Linked DNA regions of Macaca fascicularis. The protein of the gene in region 1 interacts with the protein of each later gene in a biochemical or structural test. Links are inferred from orthologs where the notes say so. Each region holds a gene or a part of one and is shown in the gene's direction. Other genes may lie near its edges.

What was found. The genes of interacting proteins can lie anywhere in the genome.
Region 2: the proteins of SCN8A (region 1) and FGF14 form a complex in vitro, tested with the Homo sapiens proteins (2 studies listed by BioGRID). The link is inferred for Macaca fascicularis from reciprocal best matches to the Homo sapiens genes SCN8A and FGF14.

Annotation. Positions count from the first base shown.
Region 1 is NC_088385.1:58,542,557-58,546,210, forward strand, and holds part of SCN8A (sodium channel protein type 8 subunit alpha), read left to right. Parts: intron 1-673; coding exon 674-815; intron 816-3,654. UniProt on the Homo sapiens protein: Pore-forming subunit of a voltage-gated sodium channel complex assuming opened or closed conformations in response to the voltage difference across membranes and through which sodium ions selectively pass along their electrochemical gradient.
Region 2 is NC_088391.1:92,713,692-92,717,345, reverse strand, and holds part of FGF14 (fibroblast growth factor 14), read left to right. Parts: intron 1-2,450; coding exon 2,451-2,561; intron 2,562-3,654. UniProt on the Homo sapiens protein: Probably involved in nervous system development and function.

The DNA of each region.
Region 1 (3,654 bases):
AGGCCAGTGCAGGCAGATCACGAGGTCAGGAGTTTGAGACCTGCCAGGCCAACACAGTGAAACCCTTTCTCTACTAAAAATACAAAAATTAGCCAGACGTGGTGGCAGGCGCCTGTAATCCCAGCTACTTGGGAGGCTGAGGCAGGAGAATTGCTTGAACCCAGGAGGCAGAGGTTGCGGTGACCCGAGGTCATGCCATGACACTCTAGCCTGGACGACAGAGCTAGACTCTGTCTAAAAAAAAAAAAAGGAACTTCTAGCCGTTTGTCATTTGGGATAGTAGTGAAGTTAAATTTGATTGAATTGCACATTAATATGAATCTAGAACAGTACTTCTCACGCTTTGGCACGCATAAGAATCACCTGGCATACCTCTTAAAAATGCAGATTCATAGATCCCATATCCAGAACTTTTAATTCCTAGATTTGGGTAAGGACACAGGAATCTGCATTTTTAAAGAACATGCCAGGTGATTCTGATCCTAGGCTGTCCCCAGAAGTTGGCTAGCTGCTTATTTCCTTCTTTTTCTTCCAATTTGTTGTCCTGGCTCTATCAATGGTTATTTATTATCTCCAAGGTCGTGGATTAAATAGAATTATGTTATTTGTTATCTCCAAGGTCACGGCTGGTGGAATTATGTTAAAAGTCCTGAACTTCCCTTTCTTTCTTTAGGCAATGCCCAGAGGGATACCAGTGTATGAAAGCAGGAAGGAACCCCAACTATGGTTACACAAGCTTTGACACTTTTAGCTGGGCCTTCTTGGCATTATTTCGCCTTATGACCCAGGACTATTGGGAAAACTTGTATCAGTTGGTGAGTAATACCTCTTTTCCTTTGGCCATAGAGTTTGCATGAGCATATACAGGGTTAGGGACATTCTGTGTGGGAGACATTCTGTGTGAGAGACATTTAGTAAAGACATTATACAAGATCTAACTGTTGTGTTTCCCACAGTCAGCTGGTTTTTGATGTTAAGTGAATTCTCTCAGTTCTCATCCCTGTTTCTTGAATGCTCAGTCATGTATAGCTGTAGATTCTTACAACCTTGACGGCCTCTTGTCTGACCTGAGAATCTGCTATCTCTATCTACTTCCTACTGTTTATCCTCTGCAGCATATCTCCTTTTGGAAATTTGGGCTCAGGGTTTGTTTTTTTTTTTTTGCTTGTTTTCTTTTCTTTTGTTTTTGAGGTAGGTACTACAGGCATGTACCACCACACCTGGCTAATATTTCTACTTTTTGGAAAGTTGGGGTTTCACTCTGTTTCCCAGGCTGGTCTTGCAACTTCTGGCCTCAAGTGATCCTCCCACTGTGGCCTCCCAAAGTGCTGGGATTACAGGCGTGAGCCACCGTTAGGGCTTCTGTTTAAGAAATATTAAACACCTCTTTGTGCAAGGCACTATATAGATGGAATTTCCATAAGGACCTTGGAGTATAAATATATCAACATTTTTGAGATTTGTAACACATTTGGACTTGTTCAAGCAGGTTGTACAGATAAAAATAGGGTCAGTAACGTTCTGTTGGGCTACACTGGTGACTCTGGACAAGTCATTTAACTTTGCTGGTTGTAATGAAGTTAGTGTAAGTGATTGCTAAGGGTCTTACAGCTTAGAAATTTTATGACAGTCCATTGTTTTCTGTTTGTCATTTGGTGATACCAGTTACTTTGAAAATGAAAAACTTGTCCCCTCAGGCATGAAGAAACCTCTTTTAAGGGAAGTTTCTATTTCAAATCTCTGAGTTAATTCTTACCTTTCTGTTGGACAGCCTAGAGTTCCCCCAGGTTGAATGTTTCTCATGAAATATTTGTGATTCATGCTGTTTCTTTTTTTTTTTTTTTGATACAGAGTTTTGCTGTGTCGCCCAGGCTGGAGTGCAGTGGCGCAATCTCAGCTCACTGCAACCTCCGCCTCGTGGCTTCAAACAATTCTCCTGACTCAGCCTCTCGAGTAGCTGGGATTACAGGCATGAGCCACCACGCCCAGCTAATTTTTTTGTTTGTTTGTTTTGTTTTGTTTTGTTTTTGTTTTTGTTTTTTGAGACGGAGTCTCGCTCTGTCGCCCAGGCTGGAGTGCAGTGGCGCGATCTCGGCTCACTGCAAGCTCCGCCTCCTGGGTTTACACCATTCTCCTGCCTCAGCCTCCTGAGTAGCTGGGACTACAGGCGCCCGCCACCGCGCCCGGCTAATTTTTTGTATTTTTAGTAGAGACGGGGTTTCACCGTGGTCTCGATCTCCTGACCTTGTGATCCGCCCCCCTCGGCCTCCCAAAGTGCTGGGATTACAGGCGTGAGCCACCGCGCCCGGCCGCTAATTTTTGTATTTTTAATAGATACAGGGTTTCACCATGTTGGTTGGCCAGGCTGGTCTCGAACTCTTGACCTCAGGTGATCTGCCTGTCTTGGCCTCCCAAAATGCTGGGATTACAGGTGCAAGCCACCGCACCCGGCCCATTTTGCAGTTAACAGAATAAAGATGAAAACTCTGTAATAGTGGGTTGCATGTACATAATCTAAAACCTAGTTTCCTTCTGCCTTTTTTTTCTTCCCTACTATCCTTTATGTCATATTGTCATATCCTTTTAAAACTCATCCTATTGCAAAAGAATAAGGAAGGGCGTCACTCAAGATGGGGATTTCCTGGCCAGATGCAGTGGCTCATGCCTATAATCCCAGCACTTTGGGAGGCCAAGGCGGGTGGATCACTTGAGGCCAGGAGTTCGAGACCAACCTGGCAAACATGGTGAAACCGCACCTCTACTAAAAACACAAAAATTAGCCAGGTATGGTGGCGCATGCCTGTAATCCCAGTTACTCGGGAGGCTGAGATGGGAGAATTGCTTGAACCTGGGAGGTGGAGGTTGCAGTGAGCCGAGATCATGCCACTGCACTCCAGCCTGGGTGACAGAGCAAGACTCCGTCTAAAAAAAAAAAAAAAAAAAAAAAGATGGGGCTGGGTGCGGTAGCTCACACCTGTAATCCCAGCACTTTGGGAGGCCGAGGCAGGTGGATCATGAGGTCAGGAGTTCAAGACCAGCCTGGCCAACATAGTGAAACCCCATCTCTACTAAAAATACAAAAAATTAGCTGGGCATGGTGGTGGGCACCTGTAATCCCAGCTACTCGGGAGGCTGAGGCAGGAGAATCGCTTGAACCCGGGAGGCAGAGGTTGTAGTGAGCCGAGATTGCACCATTTCACTCCAGCCCAGGTGATAGTGTGACACTCCATCTCAAAAAAAAAAAAAAAAGATGGGATTTCTTGCAACTTGGACCTGATTTCAGAGACACAATGTGTCTGTTAATGCTATTTGAGGACCAGTAGATAAATAAGCTGCAGTCTTGTATTCTTTTCTTTATACTTGTCTTAGCCCAAAATCAAACTTTTTTTTTTATGAAAGGGGTATATAGGGAATATTTAGAAAAATGAGAGAGGATTTTTTTCTCACAATGGTTGGGAGATAACTACTGCCATTTAATGTGAGTTGAGGATAAGTGAAACCATTCAACCATTGAGAATACTGAGTGCCCACAATAGGAAGGAGTACTGCACAAGGAAACACAGTCCTGTTCAAAATGCAAATAGTGCCCTTACAGAGGAACTCGGCCCATTAGCTGTTTTCAGCCTGGTTCATTTGGTACAAGTGACTCAGAAA
Region 2 (3,654 bases), on another chromosome or scaffold:
CAAGATCTTTGATTCTTTCTAACCTTTGTGTTGCTGCTTTGTAATCACAAATTCAGCTCTGGCTAGCAGGATTTGGGTTTAGACACAGTGGTGGTTAATCTTCAAAATGTAAGTTGGTTTTGGTTTTTTAAACAGATTGATTTGCATTTTATTTTTAGTGTTGAAGACATTTTAGTTCAATTATTCCACTTGTAGAGGCTGCATCAGGTAGCAGTTAAGTGGGCAGGGTCCAGAGCCGAGTGATCAGATTCCAGCTATTGACTTACTGGTTATGTGCCTTTTGTCATATTGTTACTATCAATTGCTCTGTATCTCCATTTCTTCATCCTCTAAGTGGGCTTCTATTAAGTAAGGTAATGGTGAGGATCCAAGAGTTAAAAATAGAATGTGCTTCTAACAATGCCTGGCACCTGAGAAGAATAAAATCAATGGCGTTATGATTTCTAAAAAGGAAAAACATCGAACCGTATGCAACCAGATGAATCAAAATCAATTTGGTTGTATTTTCTTGAAGTTAAAGGAGAAAAACATAATTTTACATTTTATTTGTGCTCCCTCATCCAAAATGAGGCATAATCCCAAAGGGGTCTGTTTGTGTAAGCATGAGAGTGCGTGTGAGTGGGTGGGTAGGTGGCTTCTCACTGCCTCACCTGATCTAGTTAATTCAACTTCAGAAGACATAGTAGCTCAAATAGAAGATTGCTTAGGAATAAGTGATGTCAGAACATAAAGGTTTTACAGAAAAATCGTCAATCACTAATATTCTCAGTATTTTTTCTTGACAAGAGAATAATAAAAAATTCTCTTTTTCACAGTTTTTACTCTTTTTGCTTTTGTTCTCTTCTTTTCCATGCTACGTATTTTCAGGGAAGAGCATAAATAAAATACAGCAAAACTAAGAAAGAAGTCTTTAGTACTTAGCCCAGTCGCACACTAGTATTTTTTTCCGCTAGTGCATATCTTAGAATTATGTGATTTGGGAAGTTATATGCTACAGAATAAGGAATATATGTAACACAATCCAATAATCACATAGAAATTTATTTTTTAAATCCTACTCTTTCAAAAGCTTTCATATTCTAATGTGGCTAGTCATACTGATGTTGTGATGCTCTGCTGTTCATGCATTCTTTTCCAAAAGGATTTTTCCAGTCTTATACCATCTATGAAGCAAGTCTATGTACAATGGAGTCATGTCTCAGATGATCAGTTTTAAATGATGTGCATAGAAATAGATATTGAAATTCTTTGTAATTTCTTCAGGACTAATAAAGAGTTTAAGGATAGCTCTCAAAAAATTTTTTTTTGTCTTCACCTATTTGCAAGACCACAATTTTTCTATCGATTACAAGGTGCTAGGTTTCATTACTCAGTAACGTCCGACTGTTTTGACAGCCGGGTTGCATTAGCATGGCCTATTCAGCTGTTGCGGAGAGATGCCAGTTGCCATGGTGAAGATTATGATGTCCCACATCCAATCTGTCCCTGAGATGGGGATGGCTTTTGCAAAACCACATGCAAATATTTGTTTTCAAAGGTACAACTGACTCTTTGTGAAGCACTGGATTACTAGAGTGGATGTCTTTTCAATGAATCATCAAACGAGGATCTATTACCACATGATTTCCCTTTTTGTTTAAATAAACTTCCACTGCCCTCTATCTCAATGCCCGTTGACAAAGAATCAGATTTCATATTGTATAATTTGACTGTCCTTTTTAGTTACACAAGTTAATGAGTTTATCTGTTTAACTTGTCTAATTTCTCTATTCGATTGCCTCAGAGCTGACCTCATATGCATGGGTTTGTTGTGTTTCCCCTAGCTCACAAGTAGAGTTTTCCATTTTCCTGTGGATAATGTCTAAGTAGCACAGATACTTCCGTGGAAATAACAATGACCCTTTGAACATCCAGGGGTGTTCTCTGAATTGGGGCTTTTCCTAAGAATATGTATCAAATGTTAGTATGAATGTTTTTAAAATATAGGTATTTTTTGTTTTGTTTGTTTTTAATTTCGGGAATACTTGTCAACTTAAGTAAAAGGAGAACTCCATTAAAAAACCTTTTAATAAAATTTCTGAGAGTCACCAGTTTGCAAAACTCTTATAACTGCCATCATGAGTGCTAATATTGGTTATATTAATTAGTTTATCGTTTAAACTAATAATTCAACTGACAGCTTAATTAGTTTAATAGTTTTCATTAATAATTTAAATATGCATATACTAGTTTTATAAAATGCCTGTTTCTGTGGCTTACTACTGCATTTCCTTTACCTTCTATAAATAGAATACTGCAGGTTTGATAAAGCACAGAAGAATCTGAGAGACAAAATAAAATGTGCTACTTGTATAAAATGTCCTCTTCTGAAAAAAGAAAGAGAAACAGAAAAGTAAAAGGAAACTTGGTGACACACTGTGAGGCTTATGATAACTATGTTTGCCTTTCAGATCCCCAGCTCAAGGGTATAGTGACCAGGTTATATTGCAGGCAAGGCTACTACTTGCAAATGCACCCCGATGGAGCTCTCGATGGAACCAAGGATGACAGCACTAATTCTAGTAAGTGACAACCTCAGGCCACCAGTTACACAGTTGGTAGAAGATACACTGCTACTTAAGTGACTTTTTAAGATTCATTTGCAAATTTTTGGTCATGTTGGTTCATCTTTATAAATGTTACACGCTAGAATGCCATTTACAATTTTATTTACACTATGTGGATGAAAATATTAATGGAGCAACCAAAGAAAACTGTGGTTTAAAGATGATTATGTTAAACAGTTGTCATACCCAGAAAAGTATTATTACTTTTAATCTTATTATTATAAAAGTTAAGTAAGTACACTAGTGTATTTAGGTAAAAATTAATTACATGTTTTCATTGGATGTATTATTTTATCAGGCTCTGAGGTTCTTAATGATGCCTGTGGAAACTCAAAATCTACAAGGAATAGTTTTGTTTTGTTTTGTTTTGTTTCGTTTTACATAGTAGAAATATAATTTAAAATTATTTGCATTTAACAAAAAAAAGTATAGAAAAAACATGAAGGTTGTGTACTTTGAAATTCATTGTGCAAAGTGTTTAACTACTTTATAGAATTGCATCTGTGATAATTTTTAATTAAAAAGCTACACATCTTCCATTGTATTAATGTCTGTGTTCTTTTTCCTATTTCTTTATGTATAACGTTTCTCCGTCTGGTGCCTCTCCTTGCTCAACTGTCTGTGTTTTGCTCTCCCATTTTCTGTTTATATTGGCATTCGATTCATTTTTAATTTAGCATATTAGTTCCAAAATAAGCATACTTTTTACTGTTTGGGGGAGTTAGTGAAAAGCAAAACTGTTTTTATTAGAAATATTTAATCATAAGAAACATTACTGGTGGATCAAAAGTAGATATGAATTTTTTAATTAATGTATCTCTTATTCTTCACATATAAACATCATTCCATGAAAAGAAGTGAGGATTTGAATAATACACATAATCAAATCAGAAGGCACTTCCTTTTTTATTTTTATTTTATTTTATATATTTTTATCAGCTCAATTTAAAATTCAGCACTTCCTTTTTTAAATTCTAGTGATCAAATTGCCAGTAACACTGATTCTGACAGTAGTTAGTTATACAGAATAGGTTATTTTTACGTGTGG